2 linked regions of the Oryzias latipes genome follow. The protein of the gene in region 2 purifies or fractionates together with the protein of the main gene of each other region. This does not show direct contact. Links are inferred from orthologs where the notes say so. Each region holds a gene or a part of one and is shown on either strand. Other genes may lie near its edges. The genes, in order: cop1 and stk40.

Evidence for each region.
Region 1: the proteins of stk40 (region 2) and cop1 purify together in Homo sapiens (affinity purification with mass spectrometry; 3 studies listed by BioGRID and IntAct, counting the BioPlex papers as one, with this or other methods). This does not show direct contact. The link is inferred for Oryzias latipes from reciprocal best matches to the Homo sapiens genes STK40 and COP1.

Annotation. Positions count from the first base shown.
Region 1 is NC_019875.2:19,745,666-19,761,679, reverse strand, and holds cop1 (E3 ubiquitin-protein ligase RFWD2), read left to right. Parts: upstream 1-248; 5' UTR 249-602; coding exon 603-934; intron 935-1,053; coding exon 1,054-1,113; intron 1,114-1,402; coding exon 1,403-1,500; intron 1,501-2,914; coding exon 2,915-2,979; intron 2,980-3,083; coding exon 3,084-3,203; intron 3,204-4,662; coding exon 4,663-4,731; intron 4,732-4,858; coding exon 4,859-4,918; intron 4,919-5,264; coding exon 5,265-5,344; intron 5,345-5,489; coding exon 5,490-5,553; intron 5,554-5,635; coding exon 5,636-5,750; intron 5,751-6,257; coding exon 6,258-6,393; intron 6,394-8,293; coding exon 8,294-8,437; intron 8,438-8,606; coding exon 8,607-8,715; intron 8,716-8,823; coding exon 8,824-8,905; intron 8,906-8,978; coding exon 8,979-9,095; intron 9,096-10,567; coding exon 10,568-10,685; intron 10,686-11,197; coding exon 11,198-11,322; intron 11,323-11,400; coding exon 11,401-11,561; intron 11,562-11,702; coding exon 11,703-11,747; intron 11,748-12,027; and 3 more. Other genes in the region: xrn1 (5'-3' exoribonuclease 1), read left to right, coding at 14,358-14,432. UniProt on the Homo sapiens protein: E3 ubiquitin-protein ligase that mediates ubiquitination and subsequent proteasomal degradation of target proteins.
Region 2 is NC_019874.2:23,403,292-23,419,305, reverse strand, and holds part of stk40 (serine/threonine-protein kinase 40), read right to left. Parts: intron 15,010-16,014; exon of another isoform or gene 14,910-15,009; intron 13,103-14,909; 5' UTR 13,094-13,102; coding exon 12,976-13,093; intron 12,507-12,975; coding exon 12,421-12,506; intron 11,760-12,420; coding exon 11,616-11,759; intron 10,800-11,615; coding exon 10,575-10,799; intron 10,321-10,574; coding exon 10,268-10,320; intron 5,833-10,267; coding exon 5,717-5,832; intron 4,602-5,716; coding exon 4,457-4,601; intron 4,169-4,456; coding exon 4,049-4,168; intron 2,921-4,048; coding exon 2,836-2,920; intron 2,713-2,835; coding exon 2,476-2,712; 3' UTR 1-2,475. UniProt on the Homo sapiens protein: May be a negative regulator of NF-kappa-B and p53-mediated gene transcription.

The sequences.
Region 1 (16,014 bases), on a different chromosome or scaffold from region 2:
TTTAATGAAAATAATCATCTATATTATTAGAAATTGTCATTTATTCCCACTAATAAAAGCACAAATTAATAGTCTGATAATTGGTATTTTTATTTATTATTATTTTTATTGTTTTTGACTCTTGGTTAACACAATATTATTATTAATAATATGTGCGTTTTAAGGTTTTTAACAGATGTAATATATGTCTATGAACCGCCCCTCCGCTAGGGGGCAGTGAAGGTGCGAAACACCAGAGCACAATACGCATCTGGGTGGTAGAAGAAGCCCAGCGGATCACTCTCTGCTGCTAACAGTCGCCAACCGGCTAATCTCCTGGACAACGCAGTTTGAAGTTATTTTAATCCCAGTTTTCTTTATTGCCTCTTTTTTTTCACACCTTATAATCAAGCGACTTTATAAAACGTTGCCGGTGATAAGTGCTAGGTACCCACCGACGGACAAGTTTAATCACACTATATGTTTTTGACGCTGTTCCTTCCACCGAGGATGCTAGCGCATGATAAGCAAGCCAGCTAGCTTGCAAATCTGAAGGAGCGAATAAGCAGCGCTCTGGATGCTTTGAAGTGCAGCGAGTTTTTGGATGAGTTTTTTGTTGCATCATGTCAAGCAGTCGGACGCAACAACAAGGCGGCGGTGGTGGCGCGAGTTCAGTACCCAGCACCAGCAATAGCAGCAGCGGCAATGCGAGCAACGCCGTAACAAGCAATGGGAACAATTCTGGAAATGTTGTGCCCTCCCGGACTCTGCCCGCAGCCGGAGAGGGGGGCTCGTCTGTGCCCTCTCTGGCCACTGTACCGTCGTCCCGGGGCGGCTTTGCTTCCCTCAACAGACCCTCTGCGTCCTCAGGCAACAGAAGGAAATCCCTTCACCAGGCACCCTTATACAACGGCCTCTTGAATTCTTATGAAGATAAAAGCAACGATTTTGTCTGGTTAGTTTTTTTCCAGGAATTATTTCAAACTGTGCTTTAAGATTCCCACTCCAAACGGTGGATTTTGAAATGTTGATGTCCAAATGTTTTACATGGTTTTTCTGTCAAAACAATTTCAGTCCCATTTGCTTCGAAATGATAGAGGAGGCGCACATGACCAAGTGTGGACACAGTTTCTGGTAAGGGTTCATTGTACATGAATGGACAGTTTGTCAGTCAGTGTGTTGAACTTGCTGATCAAGATAGCTGTGTAAAAAGGAAATATTTTCAAAATGTTAAACATTCTAGTTTTATGTTTTGGAAGACAAAAAAATTAATCAACTCCCCCTCACATATTTACAGCACTACAAATTTAAATTTGTCAGCTGCAACCAAAATACTACTTTGATAGTTTTATTGCTTGAAGTTTGTTGCACAGTTGGGGAATGTTTTCAAGTATTCCTCTTTTGCTTTTTACCCCTCTTGCAGTTACAAGTGTATCCGCCAGAGCTTGGAAGACAGCAACAGATGTCCCAAGTGTAACTATATTGTTGATAATGTGGATCAGCTGTTCCCAAACTTTTTAGGTGGGTATTGTGAGTTGGTGTTGCGCTTCACCACCTGTTGAAGTCTGTTTGAAGACTTGTTTTTCGAAACTTTTTTGTGTTGAGTTTGCATGTTCTCCCCGTGCACGTGTGGGTTTTCTCCGGCTTCCTCCCACAGTCCATAAACATGCGTCATAGGTTTTAGGCTACATTGGTTACTCTCTTAATTGTCCATTGGTGTGCATGTGTGTTGGGCTGATTGTATGGCAAACTTGGCCCAACAGTAGCCAGGACATGCTCCAGCCACCCCGTGACCCCGAAAGGGATACAGTGGGTTAAAAAAAAGGATGGGTGGATTAATGGATCTCTCAATTATTGGTGGTTATTAGGAATGCGTTGATTCACTTAACCAATGATTGGGCTCAAACTGCAATTTTGGATCACAGTTTTGTTTCGGTTCAATGTATAATTTGTGTATTACAAACTGACAACAAAAAACTAATAATACTAAAAAAAGCTGTCTTTTTAATTTGCTAAAAAAAATTATCAAACTCAAACTAACTCCAGGCTAATCTAAGAAAACATTACATTCAAAATTCTTCTTAAATTTATCACATAAATAAACTGGTATACAGTAGGGATACAATGATTCTCTCTCCCCATGATTATGCAAAAGTCCCACTTCAATCATCTTTTGATGCCGTGTAAAATCGTCTTTTAATTACGATTATGCCGTTTTAGCCACACAAAAAACTGTCGTTTTCTAGGACATAGTTTCTGCAGAACTGCAGTAGTTCATCAGAAATCTGCCTCCTAGTTGTGGGCGGGACCGTTGGCCTGGTGTAAGCTGCAACACTTCCCTTCAGGCTTTTCTTTACAAATTCTCCCGCTAGCTCACAGCAGTAAGCTAGCGTACAGTTTTGAGCCAGATGCCAGCTCAGAAGAGGCAAAGACACATCTGTACATGGATTTAGTCATTTACCAGTTCGTTCATCAGAAAGGAGCAGAGTAAGGAGCTTTGGGCCCATCGATTGAAGATTTTGACATTATAACTACAAGCTTTTTCAAATGGGAACGTTTTTTTCTGCTCCTAAATCTCAACGATTTAAAGAATAAAGACATATTGGGAAATGCTTCATTTTTAGTTAGGAATATCCTCCATTCATGAGGAAAATGAACACCAAAAGCATGATTTTCACTGGAGTGGGACTTTAAATTTAAGCCCAACTTTGAACTTTAACATACTGGTTTACAGTAGAGATGCAACGATTCTCGTTCCTTTGGTTTAATGGTGTAACATAGTTTTTGATCGAGAATTGTGACATCCCTGGTTGTTATCTAATTAGATCAAATGATGTCCGATTCATAGGTGAAGTTCACAGTGTTCACTTTGAACATCCTTGACACACTTTGCTGTGTTTGCTGTGTTCTTACCTATCCCAACCCTTTACTCTAGTAAACGAGCTGATCCTTAAACACAAGCAAAGATCAGAGGAGAAGAGGCTAAAATTAGACCATCCTGTAAGTACATTTCATAAATGCCTTTATTTCTGTTTTTGTTTTTCTGGTATTTTCCAACCTGCCAGTGACTTCTCTGTGTTTCTGCGTTGTCGTCCACATGGTAGAACGGTTCTCGGTGGCAGGTCTTCCAGGATGTTTTGAGTCCTGATCAGGAAAACCTGGATCTGGCAAATGTCAATCTGATGTTGGAGCTTTTGGTTCAGAAGAAAAAGCAGCTGGAAGCTGTAAGTGTTTCTGTTTCTGTGGTTTTAAGGTTCTTTGCTTCTCCATTCATGGTAACACTTTGGTAAAAGGCAAAGTTCAGAAAAGAAATTACAAAGAAAAGCAGCCACGTAAGGATTGGGTTCATCATACATGATGCAAGTAGATTAATGCGGTTACATATGAATATCTTCTATAAAGTGATTCCAAAGTAAAAGTATGTTTGCACATCTTAAAACTATTGAGCCCAATATGTTAAAGAAAATAAAAGTACAAGTTTAGGTAAGTAAAAAATATCTTTGAATATTGTTTGTCTTCGGAATAACTTTTTTTAGACGGTTAAGGTATGATGGAGATTGATCCCGTTGGTCCAGTAGCGGAGTAAGAAATTTGCATTAAAAAGTCAAAAACTGATGTGATGTTTGAATATTACCCTTGAAAATGTTTATTTATGTATTTCTTTATTCAAGCATTCCTGTTAAATGAGATTCAGTTTGAGCTTTCTCCTTCCAGTAAGAGTATATGTACACCGTGAGCTTAACAATACTTCTAGGAAGTGAAAGTATACAACGGCAGATAGAAATATTTTAAATGTCATTTCCAAGGGTTGTCTTGAAACTAACGGCAGATGAAGCTGAGACGATTGTTATCGCTGGCTGTTTGTAGACACAGACGACGTGTGAAGGATCAGCGATTAATGGAAACCCGGCATATCCGCTTTTTATTTGGTCAGTTTGTAAAAAGGGGAAGTCGAAGCCGCAGCTTAATCTTGTTGACTTCTCATCTGCAGCATCAGCATTGCTTAAGAGCCGCAACAAGTTACAAAATCTTAAGCTGCTAATAAATTGCATTTGTTTCTTTTGTTTAAACTTTAAAAAAAACATTTATTTTTTGGTACTTGAATGTGCCTTTTTCCCTAAAAATGTCTCTTCGAGGAAATAAAATCAACTCCCTAAATGTTTGATTGGATTTAGTTTAATAACCTTTAAATTATTTCTCCAGTTCTCTGTAATGTCGTGTAAATGTTTCCACCATATTTATGCTTTTTGTAACTTGACAATGCGGGTTGTGAACCACCCCGGATCCACTCCCCTGTGGATCCAAAGAATTAAGGACTTTGTTGTAGCTGTGTGCCACCCACCTACAGGGCACAACAAATTCCAGTAAATTCCCCTGTTATCCTTCTCCGTTTTGAAACAAGCCTTTAAAAAATGAATGTCTCACTGAGTAGCATATCTTCAAACTGAAGCTGCACTCTTTTTTTTAATGATCTAAACTCAGAAGTTCTTTTTTTTCTTTTAAAATGTCCCATTGAATCTTGCTAAACATAAAAAACAAAAAAAACAAAGCTAAATTTGTTCCATTTTTGCTATGTTTTTGGTGTTGACAATTCTTTTCCAATGTCAAAGAAGAATAATTGTGATTAGTTAATGTACTTTTATTGTTGTTTTAATTTTTGGTGGTTGTGTTTATCTGCATTAGGAATCACAAGCAGCCCAACGACAGATCCTCATGGAGTTCCTTAAAGAAGCTCGGAAAAATAAAAAAGAGGTACAGAGATGTTGTTACAGAAGCAATTTATGGTGATAAAATAGAAAAAAGAAGAAAGTTTTTTAGATGTTTATTCATGAAAGTTAACCTGAAATCATTTTATTTGTGTTTTCGTCTTAAACAACAGCAATTAGACCAACTTCAGAAAGAGCTCAACTTCCTTGAAGAGGACATTAAGCGTGTCGAGGTACGTTCTCTAGGTTCCTTTTTCCAAACCTGCCATTCCCACTGCTTCCTGGAGTCAAACCAGTACCAGGAAGAAAGACCCATTTTGATTAAAAAATGAAATTTGGGCGCTTTTAAAATGTTCTTGTAGCATCTATCTAATGATGGAGGACATATATTAAGAAAAAAACCTCAATTTTATTTCGGACTATTTCAAATTTGAAAACACTTGCCAAGCACAGGCATTTTCTTTGATACGACTGAAGTTGTCCTTAGGCTCCATATCAAATATAAACCAATCCGTTTCTCCTAACAACAGAAACAAACAGCAGTCTAACCGTTTTTATTTTTTATTTCAACATGTACAGGAAATGAGCGGACTTCACTCCCCAGTGATGGAAGCAGAGTGTACGGTGCCAAACGTCGAGACGCCCTCTCCAGGTCCAAGGTACCGAAACCTAAAAATCCTATCCAAAAGGAAGTCAATACAGAAAAAAACCTTTGGCATCATTCTTTACAAAAGTGTCCTCCTATTTTTGGATGTTGACGTGTGATGAAAACATTTTGTGTGTGTTTTTTTTTCTCCTGTGTAGTTGTAGTAGCATCATTGAGCCTGCAGATTACACGCAGCCTCCAGGATTTGGTGGAAGCACCCAGGTATGAACTTTGCCTAAAAATGTTGATTGTTTATTGCAGAATAAAAATTTCCTGAGCTGTATTCTTTTAATTGTTTGTCTAGGGAAAACGACAGACGTGGTACAACAGCACGTTAGCGTCGAGGAGGAAGAGACTGACGGCTCATTTTGATGATCTTGAGCAATGCTACTTCTCAAGCAAAATGTCACGCATCACAGGTGCATTTATTTATGCAGCAAAGGAAACTGTATTTTTTAATAGAGAAAACAAAATTATTTTGGGATAATTTCATGTAGTTTCTAATGTCACATAAAGTATCAGTAAGATTTAGGGTTGAAATAAGGATTTAATCCCTATTCTTCCATTACCCTTCCAATTGTAGAGGCACTTGGAGGCGTAGGGTTGTCGCAATCTGAGGTAGTTCCGTGTTAGACGTTAACATTTAAGTGTAATTAATGACTTTTTGTTTTAGCATGACCTTTTTAAAGTAAAAAAACAAAACCATGTCAATTTCTGGGCGCTGGCCGTAGCTGACCGGCGACTATTGATGACGTCATCGAGTGGTAGTAATGTAGTAACCCCATTTTTCCATAACTCTCCGTTTGGAGGGCTAAATTTAGGGGTAGGGAGAAGCCGCAGAGGAAGAATTCTGATTCGGCCAAGGTTTCTGTTGTTTTGCTCACTGTTTGGGTTTTTTCCGCTGACATTTTTTGTCCTGTCTTCAGATGAGGGTAGGACCTTAAACCAACTGGATGACTTCATGGAGTGTTTGTCCAAATTCACACGCTACAACACTGTGCGGCCACTGGCCACACTGTCCTATGCCAGCGACCTCTATAATGGCTCCAGCATTGTCTCCAGGTACAAAAGACCAAATACTAAGCTTGTACTTTACTCTCAGGATTTATAGAATCTTATTTGGGGGAAAATTGTAATATTGACCCTTTAACACCAGAGATGTTGCTGGTGACACCTAAATAACACGTTATTTGATATACCGTAACTCTTGGACTATTTACGCGATCAACGGGAAACAGCTGATTTTTGTTGATCGCTGAAGGAGTTCATTACTGTGAAGTGTTGCACGTCGGCGCAAAGCTGCTTTTTCTCCGCTGCACTTGTAATCCACTTAACTTGCGTTAACTCTGTAAACAGTTGAAGAGTGAAAGCAGGGGTGCTCGTAACATCGATCACGATTGAACAGTCGATTGCGATGTGATGGTAAGCCATCAAAGATAAATGTATTTTTAAAAATCTGTCAGAAAATCATCATCCTCGGCGTGAAATACGCCCCTTGATTGGCATGCAGAACGGCCAATTGAACATCCTCTGAACATATGTCACTGTGTTTAAAAACACTGAGCTTCTTTTTACTTTTTTTCTTCTTTCTCTGAGAAACCCGACACACAGCGGGGCCGGCAAAGCCCTGGTTTCCTGGGGAGGACCCCCGCGGCCCGCAGGAGGGTTTCTAAACCTGTCCCTGTTTGCGTGCCTCCTCGATTAGAAGCGTAGCCCCGTCTGACCCAGCCGTCCTGCCACGGCGCCTGCTGCCGGGCCCGCGGTTCAAGCCCACTCAGGCAGCAGTGTCTTTAAGCACGGAGCAGGGGCCGCCGTTGGCTCAGCCTTGGTTAACCCACCCGCGCTTTAGGAATGTCATGGTCCCCCCATTTTTACAGCAGAGCATGAAACGTGACTGTCAATGCTTTCTGTATCCATAATGAAACGCTTTGTCTGTTCAAATTATGTATTACTACAAAAAGAATAATACACACAGCAAAGCTATCTTCTCCAATATATATATTTATATAGATATATATCTATATATATATAGATATATATCTATATAAATCTATATATATATATATCTATATATATATATATATATATATATAGAGAGAGAGAGAGATAGATAGATAGATAGATAGATATCGATAGATAGATAGATAGATATCGATAGATAGATAGATATCTATAGATAGATATCGATAGATAGATAGATAGATATCTATATATCTATATATATATATATATATATATATATATATATATATATATATAGATATATATATAGATATATAGATATAGATATATAGATATATAGATATATATATATAGATATATAGATATATATAGATATATAGATATCTATCTATCTATCGATATCTATCTATAGATATATATATATATATAGATATCTATCTATCTATCGATATCTATCTATAGATATATATATATATATATATCTATAGAGATATATATATATATATCTATAGAGATATATATATATATATATCTATAGATATATATATATATATATATATATATATATATATATATATATATATATATATATATATATATATATATATATATATATATATATATATAAAAAATATAGGACGGCAGTTTAGCTCAAGGGGTAGAGCAGGTCGTCCAACAACCGAAGGGCTGGAGGATCGATCCCCGCTCCTCCCAGCCAGCTGTCGCCCCCCGGGCGCGGCCAGCCCACAGCCCACCGCCACCACAGGGAATGGGTCAAATGCGGAGAAAGAATTTCCCCATTGTGGAATAAATAAATTAAAATGATTAATTATTATTATTTATATATTACTGTAATAGAAAGAATTGAAACACTGGCACTAACGTGCTGGAGTTGAAGGGTTAAAGCCAAAATTCCGATTTTGTTGTCGTAGGAAACGATTACCGTACCTAAAATGAGGGAGAAGTCTGATCACTGACTCCATCTTCGCGTGTGTTTCAGTATCGAGTTTGACCGTGACTGTGACTACTTTGCCATTGCTGGTGTGACCAAGAAGATCAAGGTGTTTGAGTACGGCACCGTGATCCAGGATGCCGTGGACATCCACTATCCTGTGAACGAAATGACCTGCAATTCCAAAATCAGGTAAAGGAATTCATTCCTCGACAGAGACTAGGTTTTGCTTAAAACTGTGCTCCATGAATGAAAAAAAAAAAAGAATTTCAGATATGCACATATGAACAGGAAAAAAAAAAATTTCTGCCAGCTTTGGTTGACAAGAATCTACATTTGAAGATCTGTTTCTTCATTGCAGCTGCATCAGCTGGAGTAGTTATCATAAGAACCTTCTGGCTAGCAGCGATTATGAGGGAACCGTCATTCTGTGGGATGGATTCACCGGCCAGCGGTCCAAAGTCTACCAGGTGTGATGACTAGAGTTGAAAGTGTTGTGATAAAACTGTTCATATCCTTTTATCTTCTGACTGATTAGCCTAATCTGCAGTGACACCCTCCACTGTTGTTCTTTTCAGGAACATGAAAAAAGGTGTTGGAGTGTCGACTTTAATCTGATGGACCCCAAACTTTTAGCTTCCGGCTCTGATGATGCTAAAGGTAAAGATTTGGCCCTCGTCTGAACACGTCATCCTCATCAATCGTGTTAGAGATTTCCAACATTCTTTTTCAGTAAAGCTGTGGTCAACCAATCTGGACAACTCAGTAGCGAGCATCGAGGCTAAAGCTAACGTATGCTGCGTTAAATTTAGCCCAACATCCAGGTATCATCTGGCATTCGGCTGTGCAGGTAATTTCTTCAATCCTCACTTTATCTGCTTATTTTTCAGTTGGTTTAGTGTTTTTCTGCATTTGTTAAGAGGTTATATTAATTGAAATATCTTCCCACATCTACTTTAGTTATTCTGTTTCTGTATTCTGCAAGAAGGAACTAAACTCTGCTCTTATTTTGGTTCATGTTGTGTGCTTATTGAATAAAGCGTTTGGCAAAATCCTTAACAGCTTTTGTCGTCAATATAATATTACTAAATTAATTAAAAAACTGTAAAAGTGGAATCGTTCAAATTACCTTCAACAACCCCAACTCAAATTATAAACCACTCACTTTTATCACAAGTATTTTGGGGGTCTAGTTTCTCTTCTGAAATGCTTGTACTCTATAAAATTAAAGATTTTGTTAAAAATAAAATGATATAATTTTCATATGTTCTTCAGTCAAAGTTGGGTAGGGAGGTATGATTGTCATCGGCTGCATTTCTGAATTTCTTTGGTTGGTAACCATAAAATATTACATTTCAGAATTCTATGGGCACTAAACTCTCGTCATTCAGGAATTATAATAATTCTTTAAAAATGTCTTTGGAGACTTTTTAAGTCAATTTTAGTGCATTCTTCTACCAGATCTTTTTCATAGTTTGATTTTTGCTCTGTAAAGAAATTCTAGAGGTAATTTCTTAAGTTGTTTTTTTTTTTTACTTCTAATTTTTCACAACAAAAAGCACTTTTTTTTAACCCCTGAAAATGTTGCATAATGTAGGTGGAATTTATATATAAAAAAAGTCAAAACAGACAAGCTTTTAGAAAGAAAAGAGAACTGTTGCTCTCGCTTAAGATTTTGCAATTTCGGCTATTTAGATACAAAATACAAATTGATTTTAAACAAAGAGAGAGAGAGCCTAACTCCTTTTAACAGAACTGGATACAAACAGTGTTTTATTCTTTTTAGAAAGTAAAGGGACAATGTAGTGTCACGCTAACATATTCAAGGTTTTTCCTCAGTTAAGGAGCATTAAAAATGTTTTCTGTCATTGCTATATAATATTGTATTTCTTTTATTTTATTCAGCATCACATCTCAACTGTTTTTCTTTTTGTTTGTTTGAAAGACAATTAATCCTGAACAATCCAAAAGAACTTTATTATGTCCTGACAGAAGAATATCTATGAATGATCATAGATATTTTATTATAGGGGTATTCGTGTAAGTATTCTAACTCTGAGCAGAAACTGTGTGGTACTTTGCTGTAAGTTTTCATTCTTGGTTTACGTTCGGAGTGCAGCTAGGAGATTGGAAAATAAAAGACTAAAATAATTTTCTTTTTTTAGTACCAAAACTAACCACAGAGTTGCAGATCAGGAAAAAATGTAATGTTTGTGGTTTAATACCATCATGTTTTTATTGACAGAAAGCAACAACAGTTGTGCTTCATCATTTTCTGGCCCAATTTGAACATTTTGTGAAATTTATCTCTTTTGTCCGCAGACCACTGTGTCCACTACTACGATCTCCGCAACACTAAGCAGCCAATCATGGTTTTCAAAGGCCACAGGAAGGCCGTGTCCTACGCTAAGTTTGTAAATGGGGAAGAAATCGTTTCTGCGTAAGTCTGTTTACCTTTGCTTCCATCTTTAATGTTTTAAGTAATCGTGTATTTGTTTTTAAATGTTAAATATTTTAGTATATTTTAAAAATGCAATGACAGACAACGTCTTACTGCTTAACGTTTTCTATTAAGGACTTTAATTTTATTAATTTTAAAACTTTTATGTTAATAATACAATTAATAGAGATCATCCTGTGCTAGTGGCAAAACAGATCAACAAATATTTAACATTTAGTCTGGTTCCTATATAATCCTATATAACACATGAACAGAGGTGAGAAAAACACATTTTAAAGCTTTAAACGAGAGCCGCTAAGTTTATTTCTTTCACAGAAGCTAAATTGATTAAAATACGCTTTCATATTTTTAGCAGCTTTCTTGCATATTTAGACTTCTCAAACAATGCTTTTAAAACTGTAAAGAAACTACTTAATAACCAAAACTAAAAAAATAGGATAAAGAAGGATTTGTGCACACACATATAAAGAGTACATGTTCTGTGTTCATAGTTCGACGGACAGCCAGCTGAAGCTTTGGAACGTCAACAAACCTCACTGCCTGCGCTCCTTTAAGGGTCACATCAACGAGAAGAACTTTGTTGGACTGGCGTCAAATGGAGACTATGTTGCCTGTGGTATACGTTCATTTGAAACGTTGACGCTGATGTTTAAAGACTAGCCATTAATATAAAGTGTTTTTATGTCCATTTTAGGAAGTGAGAACAACTCCCTGTACCTGTATTACAAAGGACTTTCCAAAACACTGTTAACATTCAAGTTCGACACGGTGAAGAGTGTTTTGGACAAAGACAAGAAAGAAGATGACACCAATGAGTTTGTGAGTGCCGTCTGCTGGAGAGCCCTGCCTGATGGAGTAAGTGTCACTTCACTGGTCAACTATACTTTTTTCAATTCTGCCATTGTAAGCAATACTTTAAGGCTTTTGTCAATATTTTAAACAAGGCTTTCATTTACATAAAATACCTCTGATTTATTCAAAATGATTTGCTTTTAGGAGTCAAATGTTCTCATTGCTGCGAACAGTCAAGGAACTATCAAGGTTGGTGTTTTAAAAAATATACAAAAAAGATGTTTTCTTTTTAATAGTACCGTTAAATGTTTACAGCTCTTAAAAACATCTGTTTGAGTTTTTTTTTATTATTCCAGTATCAGTGCATAATTCCTCCCATTTAATGAGAATTTACCAGGAAAAAAAATACAATTGCAATTATTTGGGGGGGGGGGGGGGGGGAGGGGGAGTGGTTTGTCAAAAAATTGCTTAATAAAGAAAAAAATGTCTTTAAAACATCTAAATGTCTGTATCTATTCCTCCCTGACAGGTTCTTGAACTTGTCTGAATTCCTGCCAGGCTTGGGCTATCATGACCTCTATCTTTAGGGGGGCAGGGGTCAGCCGTGAATGGGGAGATCGCCTGCTGATCAACGGAGGAGCAAAAAGAAACGGAATCCATCTGTTATTTCACTGAGCTTTGTGTGCGTGTGACATCAGACAAATGTCGGCCCGTGGCACCAGTACAGCAGGCGGAGATGTGCCGGCGTTTGAGCTTTACCGTTAAAGAACCAAGCTGGGGCACAAAACAGAGGAAAGCGGTTTTGTTCCTAATCCGTCACAGTTTGTCAGCCACAATACAACACCTCTCTCTGGTTTTATACCAAATCTTATTATTTTTTTACTTTTGACTTTTTAACTCTTTAACCATTTCTGTCAAAGGCAATTCAGATAAATGCAACCTCCTGCATTTTGTCTTTTAAAGGCCAAAGCACAAAACAAAACATGCAAACTTAAATTCCCCCTCTGTCAGCTGTCCAGTTTATTCCCTATTTGTGTTGTTCTTTTTGTTGTATATTTTGTTTGTTTTTCCAGATTGGGAGACAGCAGGGTTTTTTTTTTTTTTTTTAATAAAGGTGACTTGAATTTCATTTTGTCAAGTGTACAGCAGTTTTTCTGGCAAAAGCAACGTAGCATCTCAGCGTATCTTTTTCTCAGAACAAAATGATACTCCACGTGTTTGTTTCTATAACCACAGCTATTGTTGCTTGATTCAACCTGCAGTTAGTGGAACTGGACTTTTTGATGGATTAGGACTGTTGTAAACTGATAACCACAAAGCCTCAGATGAAGTTCTTTCAAAGTAGCACTGGGATGTTTCTTTTTATTTTGTTTTTAATGCACAACTGCAGGCATGAACTGAGTATCATTGCATTTTGGGCGCCGCTACCAGTTTTTGTGGAGTTCCACAAGGACATGTAAAAAAAGAATAATGGAAGGATTGAAGAAGCCACCAGGATCTGCCAATTTTATGATTGATGAATAAGAGAGGTGTTTTGTATTTGCCTAACAATAAATTATTTAAAACATTTTGGTATGTGTGCTTTTTGAAAGTCTTTGATATTCTCTTTAATTACAATGCAATAGGTTGCTTGGAAAATATGACAAACCAGCTTTTTTTTTTTAGTACAAATGAGGAAATCTAAGATAAAAAGTTGAGGTTAGCACATACGTAATTGTACTAAGGTGAGGTAAACTTTGTCCTCAGAGAGGAAATTTGTTCCTGGCCACAGAGCTACTTACCTGAATGAGAATATTAACAGTACACAGAACAAATAATTAAAACGGGAATATACAGAATTTCCAACAGACCTGACTCACCGTTAAGAACACGAATAATAAAATGTTTAATTGAAACCTTTACCACAATGCTGAAAATAATTTCAGTAAAATGCATTATCAATTCATAAAAGGAAAAAAAATCTACTGTTGTTAAAACTAGGGACTAAGTATTACCCAAAATGATAAATACATATAATTATGCTCCTAAAAGCAAGCAAGAAGAAGGCCGATTTTATTTCTAGATGTCAAGTACTATATTTAAAAAGATATTGAAAGCCTATTAGAATGCCAGAGCTGTATTACCAAATACTGTATATTTTTTGTTTTTACCCTTAGTATAGTAATGTTTTTCTATATTTAATTTTTAGTCTCATTTTGAAAAACCAACATACAGATGGATAAACTGTACTTTATGCAGAGCTATACTAAAATAATATTTTCAGCTCTCGACTCAAGAAAAAAATACAAAATTGCATTTCTCTTTTGACTTTTCAGTACAATTTACCAGAAAAATTACATTCTTTAAATTATAATAGCCTGAAAATTAATGTAAAAAGGAAAAACGGTGTTTTTCCGCTTAGGTTCATCTGTTGAAGTTGTCGCAATGCCTACAACACAAACAAAAGTTCAACACAAATAAATGGAAAGCCAAACGAATTTATGTGCTAGTAACACTATACGCAGCCGTTCAAAAATAAACAAAAATATGGAACTTAACTATCTTACAAAGTACACTGTGTTGTGTATTATTTTTAGAAACCGCGTACAAAGATAAAACGTGTTTTTTCGTAAATCTTCAATCGAAAAGATTTTTGTCAACTGAAAAATACGCCAAAGGAAACTGGTGAGCGGAACTTATGTTTTACTGTTGTTTTCCAAATACATGCGGAGTAGTTTAGCGGATGGACAACTAGCTAGCAAACGGAAACAAAGCCGGACTCTAAAGCAAGTTCTGATGTTACCGAGTCAAACATTTGAGAGTACTTAGAGATAACCTTTCAGTGTTAACATTTTTACAGTCTAGAGCTTTGTGACGAAGATGGGAGTACCCAAATTTTACCGTTGGATCTCGGAGCGCTACCCCTGTCTCAGTGAAGTTGTCAAGGAACATCAGGTAGGACCGAGCAGTCAGGGTCGATTGTTTCACAATTCACACCTTTAGCATAGCTAGCCGTTTGCTACAGTTGGAGGCGAAACTTTGAGCCGCCTTTGCTCACTCTTAAGAGCATTATTTTTGAAAAAATAAATAAATAAATAATGCCACACGTGATAAAATAATTCTAAACGCACGACATACCAGACTGACATTCAGTACGACGTACGTCGTTTATATTCCTACACTAAGTTTAGCGCCCTAATGTTTTATTTGAGTTACTTTAGTGAGTCATACACTCTAAATATACAAATTTTATGAATGTATTGCTTTTTATTTGTAATTTCAATAAAATCTACATATTAATAATAATGAAGCCTAATAATTGTAAACAGGTAGAGCGTTATAATGTTAATAGCTGTTTAGTAGCCATAGTTAACAAATGGTGTGAAGACTTGCACTAGTTTGAACATTTTTTTCTTTTAACATTTAAAAAAATATCAATTTAACGTAAGTGATTCAGATTTTTGAGCGGAAGTTGCTATTTCAGTCTCCAAACAGTCATTTCATCAGACTTGTTCAGTCTGGCGCTCCTTGTGTTGGAAAGCTGTCAGTTGTTTTCTATTTTGTAACTGTTTGGTGAAGGAGAAGTCTTAACCAAAGCCCAACTGACAAAAGTGTGGGGTATTCTGTTTCTTTATTTTTTTAATTTATTTGTTTATTTATTTTTGCTTTTTCGTTTTAAAATTTTTAGAGCAATTTCTTGTAGCTGGCCGGAGGACTTCAGATAAACGATTTCAATAAATCCATAAAAGACGTCATTACTCCCAGTTCCTTAAAGCGTTTTGGGTCTTTTTTTCTTTCAGATTTGGGCTGCTCAATACTATAATAATGAAAATTATTATTCCACAAAATAAAAACTGTAAATATAATCATTTTTTTAAATGACAAATTGGTGTTACAAAAGTAAAAAAAAAACCTGCTCTACAATGGTTTGTGACTGTCTAGGCTTATTAAAATCAGTAAGCAAACACCAAAATTTCAGCTGTGCAAGCACTAAAATCCATGTCAGCTTATTTCCCTAAGTTTTTACTCTCCATTTTTATGTTGTTGTTTTTTTTAAACTATAATTTCAGTAATTGGGTGGCGATTCACAGCGATAATGTTTTGTTTTGAACGATCCGATTCACTGACATAAAATGGATCCAAGACATCTTTAGCCAAAACTTCAACCATTGTCACTCAGAGATAAATACCTGGGCACTGAACGGTGCTGGCAAATGTTTCCAGATTTCTTGTTTTCCTTACAATTTTGAATCAATTTGATAAGTTTTATAGGTCGATTGGATTACCAACTTGCCTCAGACAGATCCATCTGGTTGGATTGTTGGAGTATAATAATAATAAAAATAATAATAAGATTGGATTGGTTTTCTCTGCACTTTTCTAAAATTCAAGGCGCTTACAGTGGAGCGCTTTGAGCACAGTATGGCACCAGTGTAGCCACACTGGAGACTAGGAGGGTGAAGTGTATTGCCCAAGGACACAACAACAGTTGACTGGGGGGGAGCGGGGATTGAACTGCCAACCCTGCGATCATTGG
Region 2 (16,014 bases):
GTTATTTAAATGTCAGTAATGATAACAGAAATATTTAAAAAAAAAAAAACCTAGATCAATACAAATACTGCTGTATACCCATGAAATTCACATTAAGGTGGAAGAAAGCCAGAAGCTCTCTTCAGATCACTGGAGCCTACAGATGCGGTGGATTTCAGCCAACATGGCCTGAAGTACACAATCGGCGTGTGTGGAAACAGAGTTGTAAGTCACCAGGTGGAACTACTGTACATACAATATGACTGCCACTGTCATGAACGAATGTTATTTACATACTGACCAGAGTGCAGCCTTGTGCAAGGAGCAATGGCAGAAAAATAAAAATAAAATAAAATGCACCACTAACAGCCCTCCCATAATTCAGATGACATATTTCATTTGTTTTGCTTTAAAAAATAAGAAATATGTCAAGTCAGTCACGACATTAGTGTAGCTTAAGGTGACCATAAATGTGGAAAAAAAAAATTTAAATTAAATAAATGGCAATGAGTCATTTTAAGAGGGAAGAATGCTACTCTTTCATGTCTGTGTCCAAACCTAAAACAAAAAAGGCTCAAGGACGTGAGGGGCCCGTTTCACCACCATTAGGGACTCCAAGCTGAAAGGTTCTAAATCTTTACAATCAATGTCTGAGCCCCATGTGGGAGCGCGAGGAAAAACACAAAGGAATAAATAAAAGGATCCAAAATACGGGGGAAAATGAAGACATTTCCAAAGGCTGTGTTCATGCAATCAGTTTGAAGAGTAAAAGGCAGATTTCTAAAGAACCTAAAGCCGACACAGAAATGCAAAAGGCAAGATGCCGCGCACGAATGGCTAACAGTCACCGGTTAGTACAACTGCCATGGTTTAAAGAACCCATCAGTTAAGAAAAATACGGCAGGAAAATCCAGAAACTGAACCAATGAATCTGTATTTGTGTTTTTGTTTAAATATGAATACAGTATCGATTATTAGCCACTTGCTGGTCTTGACGAGCCCACAAGGTCAAACAGGAAAAACAAGCGTGTTCAAGATGCGCTCGAGAGTGGCAAGAGATATGTGATCATTTCCAATCTTAAAGCATTCACGTCATTTCCATAAACATTCAGTCAGGCCCGCCGCGGCCGGGCCTGCTCTGGTTTTCACAGTGTCTGCCGCCGAGGCAGGCCAGATAACAGAACACGAAGGGGGGGGGCGGAGGATAGCTTAGGGTCGCAGACAGAACCGCTCCACGGACTCCTGGTCTGAACACATGTACGCGCTCAGGGATACTGCAGATGCACCAAAGGGAGAGAAGGACTGTTCACATTCATACGAGGAACACTTGTCCAGCCGGCTGTGATAGTAAGAAGAAACAGAAACGTTGCCTGGAAGCCACTGAATTCTGACTGAGCCTGTAAGTACCAGTTTCCTTGGCTAAGAGTAGATTTAAGACATGATTTTTGGCAACGCAAACAGCGCCTGATCATCGTCATAGTGATGAAGAGTTACCATCAATATGCCTTGGCGTGGAGGATCTAGCAGCTTCTCATTCAGTTCTTGGCATCATGACTTCCAGGCATCTCTTGCTAGCTGCCTACATGCTAAAAATCAATTTCCACAGGGATGAGGAAAAGCGGGAGACAATGGATTGCCAAGATTCCAAAAGGATCGAGTTCTTTCTTTCAATGGGACTACAGGGATAAAAATGCTACTTATTGAGGCAAATGACAAAAAAAAAAAAGCTTATTCAGATTTCTAGGGGCCACCAAAAAGGCTTCAAAGCATTTTGTGACCCCCCCAAAAAAACCAAAAAAAAAACATGAATGCTTTACGTCACTGGTGGCATCAGGACTCAGTTGTTACAATCCCTTGTCTCAGAGCAGGGAGGGTCGCTTATCAACAGGAGAGGGACAAAGAGGTAGATTGATTTAAAGTCAGAGTTATGGACATAGTTGTTTTCAATACAAGAAAACAGGAAAGAGAAGGAGAAGAAAGGTGGAATGGAGGTATCCTGAAGTGACATCCGTAAAAATCGAGTGAACCGATTTGAAGCAATGCTCTTTGCCACTATGTTAAGGGGTTTGCTACATGTCCTGGACCTCTGTTGCACAGAGAACCCAGAATTAAGAGGAAGTGTTACAAAGAAGGGGGCGGAGCACACAGTTTGTAGTTTCTTTAACACTGCAGGCAAAGCCATGTGCCAGCTCTATGTGATACTGTGTCATGGGGTGTGTGTGTGTGTGTGTGGAGGGGGTGGGACCGAAGGGGTGAGGGGCCTTTGGTTCAGAGCCTCCATCGGGCTTTTCCGGGTTTCCAACAGTGTTCGCCCAAAGGGAAGGTAGAGCTCTGACGTGGAAGTTTGGTCTGATGCCCACCGTAATTCTACCGAGCATAGCCAACACCCCGCGTCTGGTGGGGGGGGTGTCTGCCTGTAGAGTTCTGGGGCTTTTCCTTCTCGAGGAGCTTTGGCCTCAGCGGGCATCTTCAGTTCACGTTGAGCCCGAGACGCCTTTAATGGGTAGCTGGGGGCTTTTTCCGAAGGAAACGTTGAGCTAGGATGGCGGCGTCTAGCGGGCTGACAGGTTGGGCATCGTGGCCTAAACGCCTGACGGGGGGGATGCTGCCAAAATGCCGGTTGTTGGTGCAGCTCTTAGCTTCATGGATAGTGTTCTTCTCTTCAGCCAGCAGCAGCTGCTGACGCATGTAGTTCTCAAACTCGTACTGCGAAGACTCCTCAAGCGCCTTGGCCTGAGAAGAAAAAGGAACTTTGACTTCTGAACATCCAAAAATGGCCTCCAAAGGTTAGCGTCAAACAGGCACAAGGCGTCTCACACTGTTTTGGGCTGATGAGTATAGACAGGCAGATCTCACCTCTTGTAAATGTTCTGGATTATTGATCTGATCGTCAATGTCTGGAACCACTTGCAGGGGGCCACTCATTGAAGAAACAGACTGCCTGTGATTGAATTCATAGAAAAACATGAGTATCAAAACTAGCATCTAACTTGGAGTCAGAGATTCAAAAAAACAATAGAAAAAAAACAACAATTCCATACATGAACCTGAATGACAGGTTCTGGTAAAATGCAGCAAACTTTTATTTTTCTTTTTTTTTTCATTGATTTATTTGTTCCTTTCATGAAAATTATTGAATGTCCAACATGTTTACATGTTTGTCGTAAATTTTTGAAAATGTTTATGATTGGAAAGGAGCAGAATTGAAGAATACAACCATTATAATTGTTTGCTCCCTTTCAAACATTGCATCATATTTACATTTCTCACAGCATCACCTGTGCTCAAATTTCACCATAAACACAGTAAATACATACCGTTGATTGATTTACAACATACATTCCAAACATTCCATCCAACAGTCAAGTTTGTACGTTCTTTGCTTTATACATCCGTTTTCATTGAATAATATTTTGACAACTTTTTAGCTGATTCTCCTGGGAATTCCACATGTTTACCCCTGCTATAGACAAACACTTTTGCTTTAGTGCTGTTTGAGCAAACTGTTGTTTGAAATCAAATCTATGATTTTCATCTCCTCTGGTAAAAATAAAAAGCTTTTGTAAGTGTTCTGGGAAATCTGTGTTTCTGGCTTTAAATATAACTAATAAGGTCTGCAGTTGGATTACATTTTTAACTTTAAAGGGTCAATTCAAGAAAAATTGTGTTAACATGTTCTTGTGGCATTTTTCTGATGATGGAGAACATTTATAAAGAAAATTAAACTCCAAATTGCATTCCTGAGTATTTCTTTATTCTAATTATTGTGAATCAGGAGCAGATGAAAAAATGCTGTGGGAAAAAATTGCCAAATTGTGAAAATATGCTTGGCAGGCCACAAACTTCGTGCTCCAAGCTCTCCAAGCACTCTGCGCCAATTGTCCCACCCACAACCTGTAGTTGTTCTAAAGAACTACTGTCACTCTGCAGAAACTATGTCTCAGATAACGACAATGTGTTTTTTTTTATTTGGGCTAAAAAGGGCTTTATCATATTTAAAAGACCACTTTGAAAATAGTTGGCACTGTGAGGAACAAATGACAAAACATCCAGCAGGGGGGGCCATTACCATGAGGATATGATGGCACCCAGGGACTCCAGCACCTCTCCTGCCGTCAGCCTTTGCTGTGGGTCCAGAACGAGCAGCTTTCGGATGAGGCACACCGTGTTCTCTGACACACGACCATCCCTGTGAGGAGGCAGAGGGAACAGGAAAAGTCAGCTTATTTTAAGAGAAACACAGCGGATACAACATGTACTTTTTAGTTCGTTGATAGAAATAAGTTCCAAACCTATTTAAAAAAATTGGAAGAGAAAAAACATGTTTGAGTCAAATGTATTCTTGGTGGAGTCATATTTAATAAAAAAAAACAACAACAAAAAACAGCAATTGCAATAATTCCTTTGGTCGTTTGTGGATGAACAGTGGGGGTCTTATCAGAGCAACGAGTAACCAGTATTTGTATGAAATACTCACTCTGGGATGGAGTACTCTGCCGCCTTTATTTTGCGGAAGAGTTCTTGGGGTGCACTGTCATAAAAGGGGAATTGGCCATAAAGCATAGTAAAGAGGACCACGCCAAGAGCCCACATGTCACTGGGTTTACCGCGGTACGGTCGACCTGGAAAAAGATAGACAAACAGGTCAGGTCAGAGTGTGTACTCCCCTATGGAAAGTGTGGATGGAACAGTCCAAAAAACATGTTTCTTGACCTGGGTAAAAGACAAAAGTTGACCCTTTGAATTCCAATCCTGGTCATGACAGTATCAATGAATGAAAGCAGTCAATGACCCCACCCACTGTGCTTGGGGGAAATCTTTACAAACATGATTCCATGATCAGAAAGCTGCTTTTGCATGGAAAGCTTGGAACATAAAGCAGATGTCAGCCCAACATGGACACAGCAGATGAGGGTGGAACCCATGGCTGTGCATTACCAAAAGAAGTGTTGCTACAGTCTGGGTGGCAGGAGATACAGCAGCCGACAATTATATTAAAGCTTGTGACACAAAACACACACAGACACACATATAGAGGTAGGGGGAAGGGAGTAGTTTCCCTCTAGTGAGTCATCTGTGCATGACTCATTGAAGCTCTGTTTAATTGTGTTCCTGTCACGTTATGCTGATACGTTCACTGAGCTTTTATCTCCTTTTCAACTGGTTGGGCGAGACAGATACGGCCTTTCTACACCTGGTTCCAGTAATGCTGTTTGGGAAATCATTAATGAAACCGATGCTGCTAATGCGTTTCATGGAGGAGTGTGATCCTGCATCAGGGTTGGTTGTGTGTGCATGTTCTGTGACACTGAGCACCGGGAAGGTAAACAGCAGGAACGGATCTCTGCTTTATACAAAGAGCGTTTCCTTTGCATACAAACAAATGCACAATCATGGCGGCAACACTTTAGCTGGTCCCAGGTTGCGACATAGCCCTCCTGTTGCCTAATAGTTGGAAAATCTAGGCCTGTTGAACCACACATGCAGTAAAAATAATCTCAGGATCACCCCTACAACCACACGTGTGTGACTTATCAACCAGAAGTTTCCGGTCCACAGTTTTGGACACTATGTATCGCCGCCATCTTTTAATTTGTTGTACTTACTTAATCTTTGGACACAATGTCGAAGTTATTCTTCCAACATCTACCCGTCAGATAAGCTTTTAATTCTGCTTGGTGGTCAAAAACCAGTCTTTACGACGTTTTCGGAAACCGCATGAAATATTTGTACTCACTACTTAATACATCAGGACTGATGTAGGCCGGGCTTCCTCTCTGGTCTTTCAGCAGGTCGTTCTCGCTCACCAGGTGCTTTCCCAGGCAGAAGTTGGTGATCGTGATGCGATGAGTCCTTCAAGCACACAAACACGACGGGCCAATGAATGATTTGGATTTCTACAACGCAATTCAAATCAACTCAATTCAAAATCAATCCTAAAATTCACATTACTAGTGACCAGACGGCATTACTGATGACTGCGCCACCCATAAGAGAACCAAGGGAACAACTGGTTAAGCACATGCAGGATTGTAGAGCCACTTGCTAGCAGACCTCAATATCCCAAGGCTGACTGGAGATTGCAACATATTTACACAGCAGTGAACTTTCATTAGCAACAAACAACAACATTAAGATTACACTTCATTCAACCATGCACACGAAATATCCCTCATGTCCACACAGAATTTGCAACACTCTGGCTAAAAGTAAATAATAACTACAGATAACACAATAACGATTGTACTAACAGTAAAAGATTCCTTTTGCAAGTTTAGAATCAATGAACCCCGACAATAATAACACATCTTTAAGTTCAATTCGCTTGTTTAATAAAAATCTTGATAAACACTTCAGCAACCCATATTTCTAATTACTTGAGGGATTTTTTGGTGTTTCATTTATATAAATGATATTAAATAAAGTGCCTTTTTTAGTTTTAAGGTAGACCAAAGAAAGTTCACCCCAGGTCTCAATAACATACGTTCATGCAGCCACTTCCAATCAAAATATCCGCATTTCAGGGGTCTGCGTGGAAAGTAGCACGCGTCGCTGCGCAAGTTTGAAAGTCAGTTTTTGGGCTCTACGTACAAAACGCATCACCATCACCATCACCATTGAACGTGTGTTTAAGTTAAACCAGTTAAATGTGGACTAAGCAGGGACTCTGATTTGGTTAGGGACCTATGGGTTGTGTCTCTTTTCATTCACGGAGGTGCCAAAATTGATCATGAAGGAGAATTTATTTAAAGGTTTGTGCCCGGCTGGAATTACATGTCACCAAGTCTTCCATATATCGGAATAGAGCTGTGACAGAAAAATCCTGGAGCAAGATTTGTGAAATTTGCACTGCTTCAACATTTCACACCAAGCCTTTTCCAACATGTGCTTGTATCGGGATGCGACAATCCAGTATGAACATCATAGACTAAAAGCACCTTCAAGAACCCGTGTTCAGTGCGATCTTGAACGTCCTGCACGTGCCTGGTGTGAACGTAGCATCAGACTAACAAAAAAAAATTTGAATTTGAATGAATTTGGAGTTCACAGACAAAAAAAATTAAACTAAAACACAGTTATTAAGGTCACTTGTGTTTGACTATGACACACAGAAATGGGATTTTACCAAATCCAAGTGACTGAACTGAGTTTTTAAATCAAAGATCTTATTTGGACAATACATATGTTCCGGTATGTAAAACAACTTGAAGTAGATCCACAATCACTTATAAAGCTTCTCATACGTGCTCAAAACTGGCCTTTTTAAAAAAAGAACTCACAACACAAAAATGTCCTCTCACAATCACACTTTTCACCCACATCCGCTTTCCAAAAAGCATGAGGTCAGCAGCTTCCCTTATTCAGTCTCACTTTCACAGCCTGCTCCATCACACACTGTCATTACTCCAGTCACAAACGCTGGCTGGAGCCAAGCATTCTCACTAAAACTAGCTGAAACCAAATGCTCTCATCTTAACCTTGTTTGTAGAATATTTGATCCACAAATCTTTCCAGTTTCACAAGTCATGCAAGTCAAAACCCTGTTAACATAAGACGGCCTGGCAAAAATGTAAACGGTTTTGGAACATTGAAATTCCTTTCTGACACTTCGTCTTGTCTGCATCATGACCTTTTTTGAAATTGCATGTTTGCCCCGTGAGACAAGAGTGACTGGATTGTGGGGTGACCACACCGTTGCCGCTTCCTGGTCATGTGACCTTTGATAAATCAGGAAACTGAACCTAAGCAGCCCTAATGACTTCTGCTTCCTGCCCTTCTGGTCAGCTGGTCTGTTCTGATGAGAATATGAAAAGTTAAAGAGCAGCCACAGTTATTTCCTCACAGCTTTATAAGACCAACATTGTTAGGATTTTATGTAACCCAGACTAAAAATGAAATTGCATCATGAAACTAGGAAGAAAATCCTGCTAAAAAAATCCAGCTTCTATGTGTATATGGTAATAGATACAACAGTAAATCTAAGGGAGACGCAAATACATTTTGCAAATCATTGAAATCAGAAAGTATACCGGTATACGTTTTTTCTGTCCCTGCAGGTTGAGTAATGACATCCTGTTTTTACAAAGCTGGCTTAGCAAGAGGAAATCGCATCATTCTTGCTCAAACTGCTGAGCTTTTTGATGCAACTGGTACATTTCCAAGAGGTGTGATAAGCAGCATGAGTGAGGGGGGGATTTTGTTTTTTTGTTTCTTTCTAAAGCACGGCGCCACAAACTGACCGTGTTCCCACACTGACTGTACATTCATCCACATGTTTGGTAAGGAGACAGACGTAAGAATAAGGAAGTACGAGAAATAAAGAAGAAGAGAAAGTGACAAATTTGGCAATGGGGATACACTAAAAAGATAGTGGAAGTGGAAGAGGGATTTCAGTAGAAAGAGAGAAGAAACAAAAAAAAAAAAAGGAACAAAAGCAGAACACAGGCGAAAAATGATGAGTGTGAGTGCGTGCGTGACTTGCACTCTGTTGTGAGTCAGCGCTGAGCTATGGGGGCCTTTGGCAGGCCTCTCCTTTGTCTCCAGCTGGGACGGAGCATTCTGTCTGCTTCTCTCCCCACCACCCCCCTCTACCAGCCAAAACACTGAGCTCTGCTACTAATACAGCTGCTGAATGGGAGGGTTACGTTTGCTGACTAAAAGCATACAAATGCATTGCATGCAGTTAAAAGAAAAGCCTTCCAGGTTTGAGCAATTTTGACAGAGTGCCAGAATTACCGAAAGATTTATCGACCAAATCTTTTCCCGTTGCTGCAGAAGATGCTTGTTTTGTTCCGTGTTTATCTACGGAGAGCAAATAATGAAAGGCATTTTTTAAAGAGAAAGAAAAGAGGCTCATCGTTTGTAATGTTGAAGGCTATTCAGTTTTATTGCTGTACTTTATGCTCGTAAAACACAACAGGTTAACAAACCAAACCGTTAGTGTGAACAAACGCACATTGTACAACCCAACAAACCCATCAGCATCTGCAATAGTGCAAACGCTTGCATGAACATTAGATGGCGGATTTTGCTGCCATGAATTCCAAAAAGGTTGTTTTTCTACGCCCTTTGTTTTACTTAGATACTGTATTTGTCGGACTATAAGTCGCTCCGAAATACAAGTCACAGGAGCCAAAATAATGCATTAAAAAAATAATAAAAACGGAAAAAAAACATATAGAAGTCGCCCTTTAGGAGAAATTTAACAAAATATGGGACCAAGAATAGACATTTAGTCTTGAAGGGCTAATCATAATTATGGAATAAGTAACAATTATAAACTGAACATATACAGGCTTCAATACTGCACCACTTTGATCCTTATTTAGGTTCATGAAACATAGCCATCTAGCACGGTGTTTTTCAACCTTTTATGAGCCACGACACTTTAACCTTGACAAAAATCCTGCGGCACACCAGCATCCAAAAATGTAAAAAAAGGAGAAACTCAGTCTGTGATGTATTGATCTACAGTCCCTCTGCAATCTCACATGCATTTTTGTGATAATTGTGGCAGAAAAAGCTGGAAGTTGCAGATGTTTTTTCTAAATGATGTAATAAAAGTTAAGTTAGAAGATTTAAAAACTGTTCAAAGCGTGTTCATCGTGGTTTTAAGACGTTTTACAAGGAAGACTCATTGTGCGCTGAGACGCTGTCACTTTAACCCAATGAATCATGGGAGATGTAGTGCAAACAGCTGTGAACGCAACTAAGACTGAGCAGAGATTCTTCTTTGCTGCTGACAGTAGTTTATGCTGATACAAACTACAGTGCCCTCTAGTGGCATGTTGCTATTTAGTTTAAAAAAAAAATAACATTAAGTCGCACCTGAGTATAACTACGCAAAAAAACTACGCAAAAAACATGACTTATACGCTGAAAAATATGGTACTTTACTGGGACTGGACTGCATTTCACCATAGCTAGACTTAAACTTTTGTGGCTCATCTGATCTGCAGATATTTGGTCTCTCAGTCATCAGAATAGAGGTGATCCTGCATGAGCTGCAAACACTTCAGAAACACCCTGAATCCTAAGCAGTCCCGTTGACACCGGAGCAGTCTGTGCTCTATTAAGAAATGGGGTTTGTTACTCAAAACCAACCGTGGGTTATGATTCATAAACCATTACACAACAGGCAGACAAAGCCAAAAATTCAAGCACAGCAGAGCAGCACTATGGGCTCCTAATACTGATTTTACTGTCAGATGAAAGAATTTGACCCACCACCGGATAGGTTATTTCACAGAGAACTGACCCAGAGGCTTGGATGATTTACTAAACTTACCGTTTGTTCAGCACCATATTTCCAAGTTTGAGGTCTCTGTGAACAATGTTTTTCTGCAAAGGAAAAAAACAGGAGAAAGAAAACATCAGTATGTTCACACCGTGTTTGGTGAATTGCTGGCATGGCAAGAATCAGTTTGTATCAGGGAGTGGCACACAACCCTGGGAAACCAGTAATCATCTAGATATGCAACCAGCACAACAATTTTTTTCTTCCTCCAAGTTGAAACAAAACATTGATGGAAAAAAACCCAGAACATTTAAAAGTGATGCTTTTCTTTAACAGTTCGCCATATCATAGAGCTTACCTTATGGAGGGCCTCCACCACACGAACCACATCGTAGAAAATGACTATGGCCTCGCGCTCACTCAGGCGCTTCTCCTTTATAACGTAATGCTGGAGGTTTATTAGATCTGCCGTTTTATCGCTGAAGTCATGGGCACACAAACAGTCCAAAACGAGGCAGATGCGCTTCTTCATCTTTCGCATTTTGTTGGCCTCGAGGTCTTCCACGATTTCACAGGCTCGGTCCTGGAGGACAAAGATTAAAAAGAAGGGTCAGAAAAAACTTAGAAAAGACACTAAAATGTTTCTGAAGGATTTTGTGTTGGAAAACAAAACGAATTTTAAAAAATGCACAAACTTGGAAGGTCCAGCAAATGGATTAATGCTAAAAACGAAAAAATGATGAAGTAAAACAACTGTAGGAGTACTGTTATAGAACAGGTTACGTCCATCAGCTGTGAGTGCATTTCTTAGGCTTCAGTGGCATTTTTGGAACCAACAGAGAGTCCCCTGCCTCTTTTCTAATCTGCCACTTAGAAGTCTTTGTGGCTTCTAAATGATTGATTTGTGTATCAAGCTTCAGGTTTAAGATACACATTGAACCCTTCTTTATATCAAGCTTACACAGGGGAGGGAATATACAGAATGACAGAAGGAGAGAATGCTGAAAGAATTACAACAGTAAAGGAAGGAGCAGACAGACAGGCAGGTGGGGGAGGTCATTGTGAAAGGATGCCGCAGGTAAATATTGCTTTTAATGAATATCTAACTTGACATGGAAAAAAAAATGAAAGGCTGAAGTAAATACAAGCCAACTGTGGAGTACTGACAGTGAGATTGTACAACTTCTTGTACTTGAGCTGTGAAGCTACACTGAAAACTGAAAAAGGCAGCCACTTCTCTATGGTAATGTTACTGCATTTACAAATCTCAATTACACAGAATGCACGCCTACACGGCACTGAGTGAAACACCCTCCTTGTGCCAATCACATACATTCAGTGCTAAAAAACATATTGCAAAGCCATTAACAGAAATGTAGCTTAAACTGTTCTAAAGTACCTGGAAAAGACCATGATGGTGGACCACCCCATCCTGGTTGTACAACAAAGAAAGGAGAGAATACTCTGTGTGCAGCAGCATCTTCCCCTGCCTCTCCTCCTGGGTCTCCCCAGCAGAGTCCACCCGCTCCTCCAGCGTCAGGATCTGTCAGGGACACACCACAGAAACACAAGAAAACCACTGAGCTTCAATTGACCTTTTTGCAGATTCATTAAACTATTGAAGGACCAATCATGGAGTTCAAAAGTCTAAATGATCAAAGCTGCTGGGATTGTTTAAAGTAAGATGAGCACTCCAACGGTATGGAGCCTTTAGTGCCTACTGTGCTGCTTTGACTGAAAAAGAAGCGATAAAATCTGCACCAAGACATGCGTGCCAAACCATCACACAATGCATTGGATACATAACTATTTGAAAATAGTTATGTCTATTTTTTACATAATAATTAAGCAATTCATCTTTGTCATGTGCTTTATTGATACCTAAGGATTCTTAATTTTGTCCGATAAAAGTTGATAAATCATGTAATAAAAATGGTAGAACTGGGGTGGGATTATATAAATTTCCTTCCTTCCACTCCCTTTCAAGCAATATTTAATTTTATGTCTAATTATCCTAGGTTTGGTATAGGTCTTTGTATGAATGTATAACAGCTGATTGTATTGTTTTTGTGTATTATTCTTACTTGATTGCTTGAAATAAACCATTTCAAATTAAAAAAAATCTTTTCATTTTTACTGTTCTTTTGAAGGGCAAGCATGACCAAACCAACAAAACAATAATGCGAGTCTGAAACCAAACTTACTTTGAGCTGATAGAAATCATCTGTGCCATCTTTTCTGGCCAAACACTGCACTATGCTCGGTACTGGTGAGTTGCCTAGGCGCGGTCCTGCAAGGATTAGAAAAGCAACAGCTGTGAGACCAAAAGGCAGCCTACATGCTGAAGTGTGTGCTCACACCACAACTTTCTATGTCCTGAGTTTGCACTCAGCCTTAGTGTAAAATACGTTTTTTTGTGCAAAATTTAGAAATTATGAGGAGGTTTTGTGGTGTAGATGTCTTGTGTTTGAAAAAAATGATTAAAACACATTTTCTAGGAAGAAGCCTTGCATCGACCCACACTGAAGCCTTTCTGGCAAATGTCATAGGGATCAGCGACATTCTTAGCATTCTTGTCTTAGCCCTGCATCAGCGTCCATTGTGCAAACACAAGACACCCCAAAACCTCACAGAATCATTTCCTCCGTTTCTGACTCACGCAGGGTTACAGTTTTGAACCACACACATTTCTACCTCAATAGGTTTCTGCGACTTTTCTGAAAGAAAAAAAAACAACAAAAAGCAGCTCGCTTCCATACCAAGGATGAAGGGGCCGGCCCTCTTGGCATTACTGCCAGATATCCCTGTGCACTGCAGCTTGCTGGTTCTGCCTGATGTCTCTCCAGCCCCCCTCTCTGACGAGCGCCGCTTGGACATCCTGGAGCTCTGCGGGAGAACAAATCTGATTAGTTCAAGGGATAAAGATAGTAAAGTTCAAGTGCATGCAAGGGGCTTCAAACTGTGAATGGATGACGTTTTAATAATTGATTTCCAGACAACTTTTTAAGAGTTTACAAATGTAGTTTCTTAGAAAGTAATGCTTCATGAAAATAAAAGGTGTGAAGGGGGTAAAGTTAAGGGCAGCTCCACCTAACCCATTACAAAAAAAAATCCCTCCCCTCACATTTAACCACCTCAGTGTGAAGATGAGGCCATTACAGCTCCATTTAGAATAATGGCTGCAGGCGGCAAGGGCAACACCTCACATTCAATCCCCCCCAAAAGCAAAGAGAGCGTGTCACAATCTGCAATTTAAAACGGAGGGCACTTGCACGCAAATAAAAGGCCATTGCACAACATTCTTGAAACTGAAGCGTTTAAATTTGATTCTCTAATCTGTTCCGGCCTCAGTGGACGTGGGTTTAGAAAAAAAGAAAAAATCTTATGCCCTTAATCTGCATGCTTAACTCAGAATCTTTTCAGCCGTCTTATCTATGCAGATGCCCCTAAAAAAACAAAAACAAATAAAACCTACATGTCCCAACAAAGCGAGAGCTCTGCACAACAGTAAGGAAGCACATTTAAATGGAACCCTAAGCAGTGACAGTGCATCAACATTTAACAAGCTGAACTCAGCACGCCAGATCGCAAGCACCTCCCAGAAATCAGATGTGAAAGGTTTGTTTTCTTAATACTGAGTTACCGTGAGGTGAAACCCCATCTGCTTCCAGTAATGGGGAAGTAGTGCACTAAACTGAAAGGAATGATTCATCCCGCAGTCTTCCAAAGTTTTCTTTAGACGTTGCTCACTTGTTCAATATGTGGAATAACCAAAAATAACAACAAAACTGGAAAATAACTTAAGCAAAATAAGAGATAATGACAGATACAAAAAAAACAAAACAATGACAGCTGGGGTCTGTTTAGTTTAGCAGTTCCATTTCAAGTACAATCCGGCTCAACAACCAACAAGGCATTTAGAGGAAAACTAACATAAAAATAAAAACATGTTGTTATGAGTGCAAAAAATTCCATATTTTCCCCCCTTTCTCCCAACCACTCAGGCCATCTTCCTGTTTCAAAACCAACAAAGGCACTCGCCAGTTGGTGTTTTTGGGCACAGACAAGGTTTGGACAGTTGGCAGTCGGTAAGGGCTCGTATGAATTCTCACTTCCATGAGGCTTTTTGTGATCCCAGACAGCAGACAGTGTCATCATCATGTCTCTCACCCATCTGTCTCCATCTCCACTAGTCATCACCCACTGAGTCTGATGAACTGAGGTTTTCTGACAACATTTGTAGTGCAAGTCAGAGTGACACAAAGTCATGCTGAAAATAGTGCAAATCTGTTGGATGCAAGAAGTAGACAATCAGGACTTGCAGTTGTTGTGAAGCTGCCCGGTGGGAACCTCCGGCGGATGCTAAAGTAAACACGCTTTGCGATACTTCCAGACAAATATTTTTTTTCATCCGAGAAGTAGGAAGGCTGATAAATATTTTAGGCAAACACCTTCGGCAAGAACCGGCAGGCCCCATTTTATTCCGGCACATAATCAGTAAATAAAAAAAAATGTAACTCATGCACCTTGGACTTATAAGACTTCACTGAGTCACTGACAGAATATGCAACGCAACACACAGACCCAAGGCATTTTATCTACCGACTGAAAACCTGCTACAGAGCTGTGGAGCCAAACCCAGACACAGATCTTAAAAGCAAAAGGTCAACACAACCAACGTCTGCACACTGACCTAAATGACATCAGCACGATGACAGCACATAGCGATCCCTTTCTGACACCACTGTGTTCCTCTGCACAGCCAGTGATCTGGCAAGCGAGGCGGCCTCTGCCTGCACAAGAGGGAGGACAGGAGCAGATAGAGCCTCTGAATCATATCATATACAAAAGGAGGAGACATGCTGCGAGTGCCCACGAGAAATGTGGGCTCCTTAAATAGTAGCAGAACAAAACGGCCATGTAGGTGTCTCGAGTTTCTTCCACCCAGACTTGATGCCTATTGTCTGGCTCTGCAAAAAAAAGGACTGCAAAAAAAAAAATAATAATAATAATCAGAGCAGCAAAAAATAGATAATTTAATGGAGTTACTAATTTAATCAAATTAAAGAATGCAACTTCTGTCATCTGCATTTATATTCAAACAAAAGAGTTAGGGAAAATACATTTAAGCTCATGAGCTCTACTTTATAGCTTTTGTTAAAATAAACCCTATTCTACTGCAAAGAGTAAATGCCCTTGATCACTGGACCACGGGGAGGACACAAGGTTAAACCGAAACCACCTGACCAAAATAACAACGAATGCACAGCCACTATTACACTGTTTGGTGCCATTTTGAGTTGCAAAGTCTGGAGATTTGAGTTGTGCTGGTGCAGCAGGCAGTGTGAACAATGACGAGTCAACGCTAACGCGGTGTTTACTTAGCGACAACCCACAATCCACCAACTGAAAGATGAAATGTTTAAAATATATCCTGTTTTGAACGGTTAATATTGCACTGCGGACGTGGGTGTTACACGAAAACACTGACCTTTTACGCTGCATTTCTTCCTGTATGTCCTTATTAATATATATATTTTTAAAAACCCGACACCAAGCTAGGGAATGCAAAACTTAACACGAGACGAAACCAGAATATACTGACCGGAGACGAGGCTACAAACGGGTTGCACTGACTTAGCCAGACAAAGTGGGACGCACTGCACTGCAGCGAAAGAAGACAGAGTTTAGCTTCCCGTGCGAACTAAGACCATTGCTTCAACCAAACTGCTCAAACAGACGCTGCTTCTTCACCGTGTTCCTTTGTTTACCAGAAAGGTTGAAATATGCTTGTTGGC